Linked DNA regions of Drosophila melanogaster. The protein of the gene in region 1 interacts with the protein of each later gene in a pairwise test. Each region holds a gene or a part of one and is shown on either strand. Other genes may lie near its edges. The genes, in order: CG4168, Art6, Hsp60B and Dlg5.

Region 1 (4,926 bases):
ATAATTATTATTTTACATATTTTACCTTAATGAGTTTAGTTAACCCGAAAATTCTCAAGCTGAATGAATGAATTTAGTGGACTACCGGTTAGCTATTTCTTCTGACTAAAATAAGTTTAGAGTCAATCGCACATTCATTTTTAACATGTACTAAACGTATTATACCATCTCGTACAAAATTTAATTGGATTGTAATGCTTTTTTAACGCATTTAACCTTAACCAATATAACCAATAAAATGCAATGTACTTGAGACTGTTTAAGTCAGTTATAATCGGCTACTATCATTATGAAATTGTTTTTCTTAGTTATTCTGGGTAAGCTAAAGATTTTCTAAATATTTTGATCATTCTTATTGTTAATCAAACAGCCTGTATGCTAATCGGAATTGCATGGGGAGAAAACTGCAATAAGCCGTGCGGAAAATGCATCTTGCCCACCTGCAATTATGATGGCAAATGTTACTTTGAGGGAACTAGCGCTTGTGCTCTGGAAAATGAAAAGTGCCGACGAAAGAAGAATAATCTTGACCGTGAGCTTTATGTTTGAAATGTTTTTTACCCGATTTTAACTTCTTTTAAATGTATTTAGAATTCGTAAAAACCGTGTCTGGGTTCTGTGAGATGGGCGTTAAAATGTGTAAATAGCCAAATAAAATGTTTTCAATTGAATTATATAAATTAAATATATTTCTTTTAAGAAATAAATAGTTCAAAAATAGTTCAATTGCTGTTTGTCCACTATTTTGATGTTTATTTCATTTGGGAGTTTTAAAAAGGGTATATGATATGATTTTTAACCATAACTTAGTTTCGCCTTAATGAAATAATCTACTGCTAGTGCTACAAGTCCAATTGCTCCGTAGTTTGACCGATGAAAACCTCAAGAAGACAAATATGAGGAACATTTTACTTTGCCACTCAAGCCCCAGAAAAGCAAACCCAAACGAAACGAAACGAAGCGAACCAAACCGAGCCACCCAACTATGAAAAATTTAAACTTTGCATCCAAGCCATTTATTCATCCTGCTTGGCATCTGCCATCATATCTTAGCATGCGGTTCTGGCTTCGTCCGGAGTTCTCTGCCCCCATTTTGCATCTTAAAGCCTCCATCTTTATATCTTTAACCATCTCTATGCTCTTCGGTTCTTGGGCAGTTTGGGGTGCACCTTAAAAATTAATTGAAACATCACTACCGGCTAATATTGTAGATTAAAAACAGCAAAAGGAGCTGTGCTGGGTAAGAGGACCGAAATGGGCCGCACCTAGATGAGGCATATAAAACTTTTGGGGTTAACTGAGTGCTCTAAAAACGGTCAGAAACTTGCAAATTGCCAGTATGCTTGGCCATTTATCAGTCTTAGTTGTGGGTTAGTTGGAAAGAATGTTCCACAATAAATTCGAACAACAAATTTGGCTTCTTCTGGAGTTTATTAGCTGGCCGCCGGAATTTTGCGGTCAAAGGGCGACCTGAACTTGAATCTGGCCGGTCGGTCGCCCATCTCCCGCACCTCACCCCCACCATCCACCTATTGTACATCCATCTTCGTCTTTGCCCCCATCAAGTCACTGTCCAGTTTAGAATTTCTTTGAATACTCCGCCTGATGACAGAGCATTGCCAGATAGCATACTAATTCCGGCTCAGTCACTGCGCATGCCCAGATGCTCCGGTAATCGTGGGTCTTCGGGCTTTGGGGCTCTCGCACCAGCGGCATGGGTCGTGTCAACTGACTTCGGGGGCTTCGGTTTTTGGGTCTGTTGCGCCTAGGACAACAATTTCCGTGTTGCATGCCTCGCCTTCGGGTGATCTAAAAACGAAGCGAGTGTCGAGGTCGCCAACGTGCCATAAAATGCGCATAATGTGGCACGGATGTGCCAGTCCACGTTGGTAATTTGGCGCGTGAGCATCGCCGATTATCATTTTTGCCACAAGTGGCAGCCCGTATAGTGATGTTGCTGGTGCAACGGCAACATTTCGTACCTCTAGCCGGCTAGATAAAATCGCGAAATGGTGACCACAAATAGATAGGCTTTGATAGCCGCGAAGCATTAACCAGAGATCGTATCGGTCGAGGGAGATCCGGCAGTGCTTATGATACCAAAAGTAATCAAGCGGTGATTGCAAAGTGAAGTGATCAGTAATCAAAACTCAAGTGGCACGAAAGCAGAAAGAGCAAACGAAGGAGAGAAAAGTAGCCTAGGCACATGCAACAACTGGATACGGATACGCTTTTCAAGCCCTGAACAGCCGCCGACCTACGAACCCACCCACAAGTCAAGTACGTAACAGATTGATGAGCAAGTCGCCGTCGCTGTCTCAAAGAACCACCCACTCACTTGGCCCCCCCACATCATCATCCTCATCCACCTCCTCCTCCTCCAACTCCCAGCCACTCACTCGACCAGGCACTTGACTAAAAGTTCAATTTCCTGCAAGATGCTTTAATTGAAGCGCACAGTAAACAAGAAACAGAAGCGGAGAAACAGAAAACAGAGTGGGCAAGGGTCACTCGTCGCCTTGGGTGCCTTCGCTCTGGTCAGTCATTAGTCATTTGCTCATTTCCGCAAACGCAGCCCGGATGTGCAGCACTTGTCAGTCAATAAACAACCTCGACGGGGGGTGGATGATGGGTGGTGGACGGATGATGGGTGGCGATCCACCCACTCTCCCAATTAAATGTGGCAAACGTATCAGCGTCAATCACCGATTCTGATGGCCAGGCCAGTGCATCCTGCCGCTTCACTGGCGTTTCCACAGATCGGCTGAGGCATCGGGAAAATGTCTCGGGCTATTTACATTGCCGTCCAAGGGATTGGATGCAATTTCGATTGGTTCATGGATCAGGTTGGACTTGCTTAAGGTTTTAATTTAACAAGCAAATGTTGGGTACCATACACTTGCAATGATAGTTTGTTTTATTGAGAGCTATTGATAAACTAACAGCTGTTTGACAAACAACTAAAATAACAGCTGAGAGTTAGTCGAAATGTCTGTAGATTTGGCAAATAAAATATATAAACACATGTGTGGTTTTTAACAATTTTAGATCAATTTTAGTTTGGTTGCAAATTTGGTTCCCAAAAATTATCGCCATTTATATGTAGCAAACAATAGGAAACTACGTATATACAAATGAAATATAAATGTTCATACAAAGATTTTTTTCGAAGGAAGGATTAAAAGACAAAGTATAAGTGTTTTAAACTTTTCTCAACCACTACATTTTTTGGATCTGTGTCTTTGGTCTTTAAGATGATGGAAAGAAAAAGTGGAACGCGCAGAAAAATCTGGAGGTGTAGTGTTGCAGTGGCAGTGGCAGAGTGGGTGAGTGGGCGTCGGTGGGTGGCAGGGGGAGTGGCGACTGCATATGTGTCACACATTGAGTTTCTTGGACAACAATAACCAAGACGGACAGGAGCAGGGTGCATCGCAAAAACGGTGCATAGGTGCTAAAAAAAAAGAAACAACGAGGAGCAACAATGGAACGGAGGTGGGGAAATATGGGGAATGTTGGGGGGAGTACGCAAGCTAACCCAGTTTTTTTTCGACGCTGGTTCTTCACAGCTCAGTTTTGTTTTGGGCCTCCTCTTTTTTTTTATTTTGTCTACTGCTGCTTGGTACATTTCTTTTTATGGCTTTTACGAACTGGCCGCAAAACGACGACGACGAATAACCAACTTCACTGACAGCAGAAGAAACGAAAATATTTCGACCAAAAACTGCCAGACTTGTCCAAAGCCACCCACCACCCACCACCCACCAACCCATCCCACTGGATGAAACCTGTTTTGTAATTGTTGTGTTTTTATTCCGAGTATGCGTGTTGATGCGGATTTCTTTGGCTTTCCCAGCGCCTTCTGGGCTCTAGCTTCTTGCCTGGGCCATTGTCACGTAAATCTGTGACAGAAATTAGCCTCGTTGACAAAAATATGCCTGCTTACACATTATTTGTACAAACAAATAGACGGGCAACAGTTAATGGGCGTGGAGAGTGTCGTCCTCGTGGTGCCTCTGGGTTCCATGGGCACCGTTCCATGGGGTTCTTGGGTTCTTCTGACGGGGGTGTTGCAGATACATGGGTCTGGAGAAATTTGCATGGGAACTGCGCCAGTTGACGCTGTTATTTCTTGGCCTCTTTTGGGCGAATTCCTCAGCTAGTTTTGTGGCTGTCGTCCTGTCGGCTTTTCTTCTTCGCCTTGTTTTATTGATCTGTTTATGCTTTAGGACCTCTGGCCCTACACTTCCCCCCCATCACAGCAATCTCTGTCAAACCCTCATCATGGATAAACAAACAAAAAAAGTTTTATTTGTGGACTACTGAAAATGCAAAATAAAAAAAAAGAAAACAAAAAGCAAGGGATGCGGGGACCGCAAATGTGCTTTTTCGGGGCAAAGTTGTGCCTAGGCTAATGACCAGACAGGCGTGAAGGCAATCATAAACTGCGTACATTTCATCCTCCCACACTTCGCACTCGAAGTTAATTTTCCTTGACCAGAGTCTAGCCAGGTTGGAAAGTTTACTCTAGCTCTTAATCAACTCATTATAATGAACAGAGAAATAAAATATCCATAACATGCCGTCGATTAAATTATTTGGTTGCCTTACGGCACTTTTGCTGATTGACTTTATGGAGTTTTGGTCTGATTTTTTCCAATAAAATGTAATGAGATTAATAAATCAAATTGTTGCACATAAACGATTAATGCTATAAAAATGTATGCATGTATTTAATTATACCGCTTACTTTTAGAGTTAAGGGTATACAACATTCGTTGAAAAGTTTGTATCAGTTAGAAGGATGAGTTTTCGACCCTATATTTTTTGAACATTGATATTAAGAATGCAGATTCTAGAAACGGCGAGATTGTGCATCTTACCCACTCTAACGCTGAGTACAGGGTATCAGATAGCCGAGGAAATCGA
Region 2 (3,383 bases), on another chromosome or scaffold:
TGCGCTAGATAACCAATATTTTATAATCATGTCCAATAATGGTGTGCATATTAATTTCATGGGCGCATAAAGCAACTTTATGGCCTTTTAAGAACTCCCATTAACAAAGACCAGTCCGTCTGTGCACAAACACAAAACGAGCTGACAAGAGATTTTTTGGGCAACCAAGCTCTCGAGATGCGAGAAGCGAGACAATGCAAATGGCTAAAATAGTAAATAGAGTTATAAACGCATAAAAGGCGTTCATTGTGGGCCCACGGCGTTGGCTTTCACAAATTTATACGACGGCTCATCAATTAATTAGAGCCCGGGGAGGGACACATTTTCACATTCTCCCCTCGGCAATGACCTGGCTTTGAAATTAATTTGTTAGGAAAGTCGTTAACATTTCGTCTGTCCACTTTCTAAGCCCCGCCGCGGATTGATTGTCATAAAAAAATATAAAACCCAACCCTTGGGCAATTGGAGGCCCTAGATTAACGACCCATTTTATGGCAGTTATCAATTCGGTTCAACATTCTTATGTTTTTAAATTTCAAATGAACTTCAGGTTCATCTTGGTGAGGAGAAGCTCTTGAAGCTCTCCACTCGCGTTCTTTCGCCACGGAAGCTGATGTGCAGATCAAAGTTCATGCCACGTCCATCTTGTCCGGTGGGCGTCATGGCCAGCACACCGCGCACCCGATCCCTAATCCTCACATACAGTGGCTCATCCAGATGGAGCACCGTCTGCTCCCAGTGCGTCCATGGCGAATGCGGCGAGGTGGTCAGGCTTACGGATTTGTTCGACTTTCCCGACGGAAACAAGACATCGAAGTACAGGACCAGCATATTGATAATTCCAGTTCGCATGACTTTTAATTGAAAGTTCGATTGAAACTCCACCGGCTGGTTGCGGGCCACAGCCAGGTTGGTGGAGTGTATGAAGCATTCGTCGGTGAGCAACTGCTGGATGGGCACAAACTCCACCAAGGGCTCCTGGGAGAATGGCTTCCTCACACAGCCCATGTCGATGCCCTCCACGTTGCACCAAAAGTTAAGATTAGTCCGCCGATGCGGATCATAGGCCCCCATTAACCAGAGGTTTCCAGTGCTGGGCAGGATTCGCCCACCACGCGTGAGCCACTTATCCCGGGCAAACAGCACGGAGTTTATCATGGCCTCCATATACAGAGCATTTCTAATAATATAAAATGCAAGTCATTTTAAAATTTTATAACTTCATTAATATACCTTACCCCATCCATTCGGAAACTATGATGTCCACCTTCTCAATGCCGTCGGGCAGCTCCACTTGCTCCACCAATCCCTTGACCACCTTCACCACATTCTCCTTCTGATTGTCCCTTATTATCTCCTCGGCTATATCCGCTATATCGGTGCATTCAACGGCTATAACTTTACTGGCACCAGCCTCGGCGGCGAAAAGGGATAGTATACCCGTGCCACAGCCCACATCCAGCACGATCTTGTCCTGGAATAGCCCTCCATCCTGGACGATGGCATCGCGAAAAGCCTGCATGCGCACCGAGTCCCTGAGCATGTTCATGTGGGTCTCCAGGCGGGAATAGGATTGAAAATAGTCGCTATCTTTGCCCTCCAGGAAGGGCAATTTTTGGTTGGCATTAAAAGACATTTTCAGGATTATTCAGCTGCAATAGAATTTCACAAGTCACATAAAACATACACATCTATTTTAATGGGACAATATTTGATAGAAAAATCATGGCCATCTGGTCATCTGTTTGCCTCGAAAGGGTATTCAAATTATATCTTATATTTTATAGATAAGATAAGAAAGGCAGCTTTCATATTTAAGTGAGTAAAATGAAGAAAAGATCCGAATATTCACAAATTTTGCCACATTTGGTCACAAACAAAAATCTATAAAAATTGGTTATAACCAGCATAAAATGATGAACAATACTACGTCATTCTATCGCCATTATTTGCATTTGAATGGCCGAAGCAAGATAAATCAAAATTTTGCATTTAATGGACCCATTAAAATCGACCAAAAAAATCGCCCCACTCAAAAGGCCGTGAAAGAAATGTGCCGCCAACACCTTAACACCAGGCCATAACTCGCTTAATCCGCCCAGCCCCGAATTTATTTTTATGGCCAAAACTTAATGATTCCTCTCTTCCCCCTCCCCCCCCCTTGCACCAACCAACAGGCACTTTCACTGTGAGCGTCCAAAATTGTGCAACTTGTTTGTGGCCAACGGTAAACGAAAATAGTTGAAATTAAAGGCGAAAAAATGCCCGTCATCATTTTGTTTTTTTAAGTGTCATAAAAATATCTCCATAAGCAGATGCAGCTATTAAATGGGCTCATTAATCAATTTAGTCACAGAGCAACAATAAAAAGGAGCACACGCACACACACGCGACACTCGAGCATAATAAACTATAATTTTTAATGTTGCTAAATTTTATGCTAATTTGCCATTTCGGGCGTTCCATAATTAGGTTCGCTCCTCCGGCCGGGGGGTCGTTTCGAATTTGTTCGATCTGCGATTGCGTTTGGGCCCGGCCAACAATCGTTGCCATTTGTTTTGGACGGCTTTAAAAACCTATAAAACTTTTGGCACAAATCAATTAAAAAACGACGTAAGTTTCCATTAGTGTTCGTTGTTCCCAATGAGAATGCCACCCACTGAGGCGATTAAAATGCGACGATGCTTTGCATACTGAATCCATTGTCAATCCGATGTCTTCTCTCTGGCCAACTTGGAGCTCTTCTATCGCGTATTACCAAATGTTCGATATGGGCCAATTATGCAAGGTGTGGGTGGCCCACCTCGATTTTCGATTTTCACCTGCTGACCCACAAGCCAAAAGCCATAAAATGCTGACTTTTATGACCTTAACTTAAATGGAATTTAATTTTAATTTTCCAGATAATAAAATGGAAGTTTATTGATATTTATCCAATATCCCAATGATATTTGAGTTTACAAATTTATATTTTTTAATACCAATTACAAGATTAAGTTTCTAAGAGGCATTTTTAGTTTTAACAAGAAACAAGATTAAGTTCTAATTTGCATTTTTAGTTTCAACAAATAGTTTATAGATTTTGGTGAGTATTTGTGTTTCTAAGGATCCAGAATTGCAACTATATTACAAAAATATGTTATTTAATGTACTATATATTTTTTAAATGATTATTCACAGTAGTTTCCCATCTCCGAGCCCTATTTAATCAAAGTCATCTATTCCTCTCCTGGTTCATTTGGCCCGAATTCCTGTTTACAAGTAAAATTGTAACCACAGTTGGAGGACAATCAGGGTTGGATGAAAATGATTGGGGAGGGTCGATTGTAATCAACCACTTCATCAAAAACAAATAATAACATGTGCTCACATCAATGCTCAAC
Region 3 (4,538 bases), about 14 Mb from region 1:
CCCACGCTCGATGCTCGATGGGTCCGTCCACCATTTTCGGTTCGTTTGCGGGCCTCGATGAAAAATTTGCAAATTGGAATTACTTATTTATTGATGCATGTTTGATGTGACGCTCTTGTGGAGGCTCCCAGCCTCAGGCCCCCCTTCTTGCGCACTCACTCTCATGTAACGAATCGCTTTTTTAGCTGCGGGCCACAAATGAAATCTGCAAACACAAACCATGCAAAGTACGGGGGAAAAAACCGAGGGTCGGCTCACATGTGTGAGAAATTGCTGTTTGTTTTATGCAAATGATCATCGCATTGCAGCTGGATTCGCTCTGCCGGTCGCCGTTCCAAATTTTCGGCTGCAATTAAAAACCGAAAGTGTGAAGGAAGTGTAGCTTTTTGCAGACCAGCATAATGAACCGGTTGAAAGATATTTGGCCAGAAAACTGCTGGTGTAGGGAAAAGGCCAATAATTCACTTTCTCAAGTCATTTGGAAGGGTTCCCGACTGTTTTATACAATTCGTTTTCGATTGTCAATTTATATTTTAGATGAACACATAAAATTTAGACACTCAACAGATATTTGAACTATAGAAACGATTTGAGCTGGAGCGGATAACGGAAGCGGGTTCTACATCATCCCACTGTCAATGTCACGCACCTCTACTTGCTCCATGCCGGGAATAGCCTTGACCATTTCATTCATCTCCTCGGCAGTGGGACCGTCATTGCTGGCAGAAGCGCTCATTCCGCCACCAGCGCCCATTCCGCCGAATCCACCTCCCATTCCTCCCATACCTCCCATACCACCCATGCCTCCCATACCACCCATGCCACCCAATCCACTTAAGGCTGCCAGCTCCTCTAAGCCACCCATGTTCATGTCCAGTCCATCATCCATTCCGCCGCCAGCTCCTGACAACTTGGACAAAAGATCATCGTTCCGGGAGTCGGTGATAACCACCTCGGTGGTGCTCAGAAGAGAGGCCACTCCAGCTGCATCCGTGATGGCGGTCCGCAGCACCTTTGTGGGATCAATAATGCCCTTCTCGACCAGCCGACAGTACTCATCGCCCATGGCATCGTAGCCGTAGTCTTCCGAGCCATTCAACACCTTGGCCACCACCATTGGGCCATCAACTCCGGCGTTTTGAGCTATGGTCTGGCAAGGCATCCTCAGGGCATTGCAGACGATATCGACGCCCTTCTGGAGATCTGCACTCTCCGTTTTGAGTTCCTGGAGGTAGGGAATGCAGCGCAAAAAGGCCGTACCGCCACCTGGGACAATTCCCTCTTCGATGGCCGCTCGAGTGGCATTCAAGGCGTCCACCACACGGTCCTTTTTCTCATTCACCTCAACTTCACTGCCTCCACCAATGTGCAGCACTGCCACGCCCTTCGTGAGGGCGGAGAGGCGTTGGCGCAGACGATCCCGCTGCTCTGGCTTGATTTGCTTTTCCGCCAGTTCATCTTGAATTTGCTGGATGCGCATTTCCAAAAGTCCTGTCTTGGGTTTGCCCTGCAGGAGCATGGTGCTGTCCTTGCTAATCACAGCCTCGCCAACCTGACCCAGATCCTCCAGCTTAGCCTCCTCCATTTTGGAATAGTTGATGTCATCGCCGAAAATAGTTGCTCCCGTGGCAGCGGATATATCGCCTATAAGCTCCTTGCGGTGGTGTCCATAGCTGGGCGATTTGACGGCGCACACCTGGAGGCCCAACCTGAGCTTGTTCAGGACCAAAGCATTGAGGGCTTCCCCGCTGATGTCCTCGGCTATGATGATCAGGGGACGACGCTGCCTCAGGGATTGCTCCAGACCTTTAACTATTTGCGAGAGTCCAGTGATCTTCTTCAGGGATATCATTACAAGGGCGTTGGCAAACTCCACCTTGGACCCCTTGGAGCTGTTTACGAAAAAGGGCGACACATAGCCGTTGTCGAAGCGCAGGCCCTGGATAATATTTAGCTCGTCCTTCAGGCGCTTGCCATCCTTTACAGTAATAGTTCCTCTTGGACCCACTTTGTCGGTGGCCTCACCAATGAGCCGCCCAATTTCAGTATCCCCGTTCGCGGAGAGGGTGGCTACTTGTTGGATCTCCTCACGCGTTTCCACTGCCTTGGACATTTCCTTCAGCTTGTCCTTTACGACGTCAACAGCTAACATGACACCTCGACGAATCTCCACGGGATTAGCCCCCATGGTAATCTGATTGAATCCTTCCTTGGCAATCGCTCGAGCCAAAACTGTTGCTGTGGTCGTGCCGTCACCCGCCGACTCATTCGTATTATCGGCCACATCCTGGACCAACTTGGCGCCCAGATTCATGTGCTGGTCCTTTAGGGCAATCGAGCGCGCGACCGTGAAGCCGTCCTTGGTGATCTTCGGCGAGGTCCATGGTCGCTCCACGATCACACTGCGACCCTTGGGCCCCATGGTCACAGCAACGGCATCAGCCAGAATATCAACGCCCCGGATCATCATTGCCCGTACTCCGGAGCCAAAGCGCACGTCCTTCGAGTACATCCGCGCGAAACAGCGACTAGAGGTAATCGCCTTGGGCACACACGACCGAAACATTTTGCACTTAAGTTTGAAACTATAATAAAAAAAAAACTTTCAAAACTTTTGGTTCTAATATTTTTTCGTTTGATCTCAGACACGAAGTGAGTGCAACTAATATGTAGGTTGTTGACTCGATACTGACGGACTAGACGGACTCGTTCAAGGCCTACTCCCATATTCAAATCCAAATTTTGTTTCCATTATCTTTAAGCTTCTCGTTTTATGTAACATGTGCAAGCCATTCTTCTTTATTTATATTGCTTTTCCTTGAGCACTTTTCTCTTTTTTCTTTTTTCTCTTTGCGGACAAGTTTCCAGGCAATCGCCAGATTTCACAACATTCATTTGTCTGGCGCCTGCCCGTCTGCGATCTGCGGCTCTGAAATCTTCGACAACAGAAGCCGTGCCTTCTGTTTGCCGGAATAAATTAGCGTGCAGCTAATAAGCCCCGACATTCTGGGTGGAGTCTGCCCATTTGCAGTTCTATTCGCCTCCATCGGCTGAGGCTGACCCACAAACAAGACCAGCGTGTGCAGATTTCCCAGAACTGCGGTGCGACTGTTCTGCACCGGAGGATGGATGCATTTTCCTCGGCTGACCGTTCCCATTTCGAAGGCAGCTGTCAAAAATTGTGTGCTGCCTACTGCAAACTAAAGAAATTCACACATTTTGCTGCAAGCCAAACGGCAAATGGAAATGGAAATGGGGAGTTTGAGGCGGAGATGGAAATGGAGATGGGATGAAAATGTTGGGTGCACAGCGCGCAAGAAGGCATTACTTTCGCACGATGAATTGCACTTAGGTATGAATGTTTAGAAATAGGTTTGCATATAAATTCAATGCGATTTATATGAGCTATCTCTCGTATTCTATACGTATAAAATAATGTCACATTTAGTTCAGTAGGTATAACTTTTTTCTGTGTGCCGCAGACGGGAATTGGAACTGGGGTCGGAATCGGGATCCGTTTCCTGGCCGCTTGACGCGTTGATTGCCATGTGCAAGCGGTAGCACAGTAGCCGGGTTTTGTGTCAAAAGCACGTCACCGATTTGAAGGGGAAGGGCGGAGGAGCTGATTGATGAGGCATTTGCATGTTCGACGACTCTTCTTCCTCTCGCAACCTTTCTCCCCATCTGCGCCAACTCTGCGACATGTGAAAGTGTCCATGGTGGGAAGACCACCTGGTGGGCTGTGCGATAATCGTAACTACAAGCGATCTGCAGGGTCTCTTGTCGGCTACAAATTACTTTCGCTGGATAGCGAATAAGCCTCAATCTATGATTAATTGCAGGCCATCTTCGGGGATTCTCCAATTCATTTCAGTATTTTTGGTGGGCCAAAATTAACCCACTGACCGTTGGCTGATGATTTCCTATTGGTTTTGGCAGATTTTTTGCCGGCTCTGTCATTACCCGCGGATGGATCCGTGGATCGAGCAGATGAAGTCGTTCGGGTAATTGTGGAGCAGACAGCAAAGAAAGTTTTAATGAGAAATGGATAGACTGCAGACGATAGACTGGCAGTTCAATCTGAGCATTTGCGTAAGTACCAGGCAGACGAAATTCCTGGATCTGGGATCTGGGGCAGCCAAGTGCAGATTGAGCTGATGGGAGCGATCTATCGATGAACTGCACTAAAATAAATAATTTGGTGGTCGTCATAGCAAATTATCAGGTTCAACAATTTTAAATGGCCAATAATTTTGATCTTGAATTACAGTAATTAACGGGCATATAAAATGTGTGTGTCATGTTTCAATTCTGGCCATACGCTAGCTGTTAGTGCATATTTCTGAGTGTAATGAGGCAGCTAAAGCTTAGCCTCAATTTAGCCTTTGCCCCCCTAGTTTTTTTGACCCAACTGTGGCCAACTCTGCGTCGCGGAATGAGTGCCTCTCATATTGTCACGTACCGGGCGGTGTCAAGAGTGCATGAAAATCGTTGGCCGCATTCACTGTAATTAACTTTTTGACTCGATTTGACTGAGG
Region 4 (4,959 bases), 3.7 Mb from region 1:
AGCTCTGGTTCGTAGAAGGCTAGCGAATTTTGCTCGATCTTTGCAATGAACACTCCCATGTCCAGTTGCAGGCCATGCGGGCAATCCCTATCCCTAGTCTTTAGCTGAACAGAATAGGCGTGCCGTTTGCTGTGACGAGTTCGGGAAACGAGCAGGAGGGAACGAGGAGCACAGGCGCGGATCTCATCAAGAACCATCCGTTTCGACAAAGACTGGCAGTCCAAGTTGTTCACCTTGCAGATCACATCGTTAATCTTGAGCTTCCCGCAGGCGGGGGAACTGCTGGTAACGCCACACACTAATTTTCGCTTGTTGCTGTCATCCAGGATGATGCCCAGGTCGGACGTGTGCTCGTAGCCGGACAGCTCTACTTCCAGGAGATCCTCACCTTCGTAACTGCTTGGGCGGAAACTGCGTCGGGATCCGGAGGCGTTACTGTCAAGATTTTGGCGCTCTTGCTGCTCCATTTGTTCTTTCAACAAGTCGATCTTTTTCTGCGCTTCGTCCTTCTGCTTTTTAATCTTTTCGCTATCCCGGATGGCCATCAGCGAGTCGGAGATGGCTTTATCTCTCTCGTGGCGCATTTTATCACAGAGCGTCTTCACCGAATCCCGCTCCTGCACGATCTTCTCACGTTGCGATATGGCCCAATCCCTTACGCGCTTCGCTTCTTCGGCATCCTGGCTTGAACGCTCCACCTCCGAGAGGGCCTTTTCTAAGCTCTTGCGCAGCTTTTCCAGTTCCTTGCTGTTCTCCAGCTCCTTTCCACTCGGAAATTCTTTGGACCACGAGCTATCGCGAGACTTTAGAAGATCGCGCTTTTTAAGGTCCGCATTGGCCAGCTGTAGAACCTTGATTTCAGCCCTGGCAAGCTGTTCGTCCTTTTTGAGCCTCTCAATTTCTTTGTTGGCCAGAACCAGATCGTCGGACATCTTCTGGTGCTCCTGCAGCACGTTGTCCTTCTCTGAGAGCAGTTGATTAAGCTCCTCGGTAAGGGAAAGCACATTCTTACTCTCCTGGGAGAGAAGAACCTTCAGTTTCTGATTTTCATCGCCTCGCTCCCGGTAGTAGTTGCGATCCTTTTCAAGCTCGATGTAGGACTTCTTGTACTTCTCCCTCTCCACGGCGACCATATTTCGCTCTTTCTTCAGTTCGGCCAGCTTCTCACTGCAGCTTCCATCGCATCCCTGCGTCTTGCCAAAATAATAAGGATTCCCACTGCCGACTGGCGGCACTTGGCTATTTCCATTCTGGGCCTGCTGGCTCTGTTGGTTTTGGGTCTCCAATAGCAGACGCTTGAAACGGGCGCTCTCCTCCACCATATCGGTGAACTTGTTACGATCGGCCACGTAATGCTCCTGGTACAGAGTTAACTCGGTGGCTAACTCATCGCATCGCCTCTTGGTGTTCGCATGCTGGTGGCGTAGGGTATTTAGCTCCAAAAGTGCGGACTTGTACTGCGCCTGCAGTATATCGTAATTTGCGCCGTTTCCACCAGAAATGCCCGACACGCCCACACCGCTACTGACGCCCTTCGAGGGCCCGTTGTTGTTGGACATGTTGGCAGCTGTGGTGCTGCCGCTGGAATTGGACGGCGGTCGTAGGGTATTATCATAGCCCACATACTCCGAGCTCTCTTCTAAAATTAAAGACGCTATGGGTAGGTACTTTAAATGAATACGGCGTCTTACCTTCCTGGCTACTCGTACTAGTCAGCGATAGATCTCCAGATGCCATCTTCGCCATCACAGCATCTTTAGGTAATACTTAACATAAGGGTATGCTGATGAGTAAAAGTACAAAAGATTAATTAGGTTCGTGCTAAAGTTAAAGTTAAGCGAGGTTCCAGGCTGTCTAACTAATTTGTTTAGCGTAATGCATTCTGCTTTCCAATTGGGGTTTGGTTTTTTCTTTGATATGGAGTTCGTTCATCTTATCCGTTTATTTATTAATTTTTAGAAAATTTATTTTTGGTTTATACAATTTTTTTTTAAACATCCAAAGGTGAGGATTCAAACTTTTACCTTTTAACCTTTTATCTAAAATAAACTGTAACTTTTTGTTAACTTTACTAGTAATACTATTTTGACCATTGCTGTATTTTTTGAAGTGTGCGAGTAAGTATGAAAAGCAAGGCATTGGAAAAACGAAACTTTCACAATTTTTGTGAAACCGCGATTTTCACAATCGAACGAATCGAATTTAAATACAACCGCAATGGGGAATGAGAAAATGGGCGGGAGTGGGCGTGGGTAGGCAGTAGGGAGAATGGGGATAGGTGGCGAAGTGTAGAAAAAAGGGAAGTTACGCAGTTTTTGGTAACTCTTACAAACGGCTATTGCTTGCGAAAATGAAATGTGTGGCAATTAAGCAGTCGAGTTAAAGCATCGAGACTAAGCTAAAGAATTAATTGAAGCAGCCGAGCAGAAAGCGTAAATTAATAGCAACATGTATGCACACACACACACACTTACCGAAACACCAACACACTCGCAGGCGGGCAAAACAAGTTGGCCGAATGAAAGAGAAGAAAAGCTGGCGAACACACAATGGTGGAAAGCACTGCGAGTTATATAAACCCTTTTTTTCCTTGATTGGAGTTTATCTTGGCCCAGCAGCACGCCTATTTGTCCAAAAAATAGGAAAATATAGCGTATTTTCCTTTACATCGAAAATCTTATTACGCACACTCACACACACGCACGCGAACGCAACAGCTGAATGGGCGCGCGAAAGAGAGGGGACGAGCTCCACCCCAATTCCAGCCCTGCGGGAAAGAGAGGGAGAGATGCAACAGGCGGACGTTGAACGGGACAACCGACGACTTTTACCGTTTTCGCTCGCGCATCCGGATTCCGGAAGTTGAGTTTCTTGGATCGTTGGGCGAAAAGTCAACCTCTACGGTGCACGACACTCTTGGAAGAACACTGCGACGAAAGCGATGACGAATGGCCAACGAAAATTGAACGAAATGAAATAAAAAAAAACAACACAACTTCTTCACTAAAACGTCACCAGTGTGACCGCGGAGTGACCGATAAATAATACACTCTGTCTCTTTAGACAATATTAAAATCGATAGTATTGTTTAATATCGATTCATTAGCCCAGCTTTCTTAAAAAACAAATAAATCCCGAATGTAAAATGTACATATAAGATCATTCCTTCTATATCGGAACTGCCGCTCCTCTTTACGAACGGCTGGCAGCGCTGTATATGTGTACTAAGTGGGAGTGTGTACACGCTAAGTTGGCGCGCAATCGTGCTGGAAGTGTCTTCGCTTAGCAATGTTCCAAACCCATTAGAAAACTTGGGAGATTTTAATCAAATATAATGATATTATTACACAATATTTAGTTCAAACCGTTGTTGTTTATTTTGTTCTTTGTAATTTTTAATACTTTTTGCAACTGCTGCACTTTGCGCAAGTTGCACGCACTAACAACCTTTTGGAAAATGGCCAAGCCAGGGCGAGCAAAATTTTTATTCATTAAAAGTAAAATAATACCCAAGAAGTTGGTCAATTTGCAGGGCAAAAGAGATCGAAAAAAGGTAGTCAACGATGCGAGCGCCAAGAAGGTTGCAACTTCCGGCGAAAGCCACATAACTAGTATAATGAGCATCCCGAGTCATAGTACGGATTCCGATGAGCGTATCGCATCCACCGCGCCAAGTGTCTGGAGTACTTCAGTACCCATACCCATTCCTTCCTCCCAACGAGGAATGCCCAAACAGAATGTTCGCAGATCGGTGGTCTCCATAAGCTCGTTACCATCGAAAAAGTCAAGTAGCGCAGTTAAAAGGAAATTATCTTATATAGAAGAACAGCCGTTTCATTTATATAAGCTTAGGAAACTCGAAGCCAGCGCGGAAACTCAGCTTAAAATAGTTCATTCACATCCGCACTTAACTAGTTCTACGGACAGCGTGGAGGAGGCGACCAATCAGAGTGATGGCGATAAAATGGACTCGGAATTGGGAAATACCACGGATCACGAAGACCAAATGAGTGTATCCTCCGACTCGAACATAAGGATGCGCTTTGATATCCTCCAAACCCTCAGGAACATTCCCGATTGGGATGAACTTAGTGATATCGGGACTACAGATCACAATCTGGGCATCGATAAGAAGAGTGTGGAAATGCAGCAGGTGCCGGGCTCGGAACTAGAACAGTTACAGATTCAACTGGCCCGCAAGTCGTTGTCCTCGTCGATGGAAAGCCTCATTCCCAGCGAATCCAATTATGAAGCACCTTCCTCGCAAAACGATGACGATGTGCATGGTACGGAGATACCATCGCCCTCAGGACTAGAATCTGTTGACGAAAGCGATTGGAGATTGCAGGGAATGCAATTCAAATCGAGTCATGTGGCCACTTTTAAGGACATTACATCTGAGTCCAGGTCCTCCACATCTAGCCTCAATTCCATCCCTACGACTTTTTCCATCGGTCAAATGGTCCAAAGCTATCTGGATGGGCTTATTGAGAAAGTTGTGGACATATTCGTTAATACAGACTATTTGCGGTCAAAAAATCTAGACAAAAGTAAGCTAATGAATCGCCTGTTCAAGGAAGTCGAGGATCACCACTGGGTGAGCCACGACAACAATTTACTGACCAAACGACTGACGGAACACCACCTGCGTCGATTTAAGTACTCCCTCGTAACGCCGAGCAGCAGATCCTACATCAACGAATCCCAACGGAGTCGGTACTTGGGTGCCCTAAACGAATTGGATCATTGGCTTAACAGGACACGACAGGCTGAGCAGATGCACCTGGCTGAAAAGGAACGACTGCTGTCGGAATTGGAGCGGATGCAACGAGAGGACAACGAGAAGATCGAGAGGCTGGAGGAGATCTTCAGAAGCACATTACTGCGGGACAGCCAACCGTCTGAACGCCTTCGCTTTGTGAGTCTTCAAAATCGGATTAAAAATTAAACAAAAACACT

The links.
Region 2: the proteins of CG4168 (region 1) and Art6 interact in a two-hybrid assay, tested with the Drosophila melanogaster proteins (one large-scale study listed by BioGRID).
Region 3: the proteins of CG4168 (region 1) and Hsp60B interact in a two-hybrid assay, tested with the Drosophila melanogaster proteins (one large-scale study listed by BioGRID).
Region 4: the proteins of CG4168 (region 1) and Dlg5 interact in a two-hybrid assay, tested with the Drosophila melanogaster proteins (one large-scale study listed by BioGRID).

The regions. Positions count from the first base shown.
Region 1 is NT_033779.5:15,197,428-15,202,353, reverse strand, and holds the start of CG4168 (uncharacterized protein), read left to right. Parts: upstream 1-1,894; 5' UTR 1,895-2,280; intron 2,281-4,926. Other genes in the region: Sfp35C (seminal fluid protein 35C), read left to right, coding at 290-317, 371-532, 592-647.
Region 2 is NT_033777.3:13,944,147-13,947,529, forward strand, and holds Art6 (arginine methyltransferase 6), read right to left. Parts: upstream 1,667-3,383; 5' UTR 1,637-1,666; coding exon 1,239-1,636; intron 1,181-1,238; coding exon 553-1,180; 3' UTR 508-552; downstream 1-507.
Region 3 is NT_033779.5:726,536-731,073, reverse strand, and holds Hsp60B (heat shock protein 60B), read right to left. Parts: upstream 2,713-4,538; 5' UTR 2,567-2,712; coding exon 620-2,566; 3' UTR 510-619; downstream 1-509. UniProt on the Drosophila melanogaster protein: Prevents misfolding and promotes the refolding and proper assembly of unfolded polypeptides generated under stress conditions.
Region 4 is NT_033779.5:11,514,035-11,518,993, forward strand, and holds the start of Dlg5 (discs large 5), read right to left. Parts: upstream 3,048-4,959; 5' UTR 2,832-3,047; exon of another isoform or gene 2,768-2,831; 5' UTR 2,689-2,767; exon of another isoform or gene 2,624-2,688; 5' UTR 2,475-2,623; intron 1,784-2,474; 5' UTR 1,747-1,783; coding exon 1,692-1,746; intron 1,640-1,691; coding exon 1-1,639. Other genes in the region: CG4970 (uncharacterized protein), read left to right, coding at 3,458-4,918.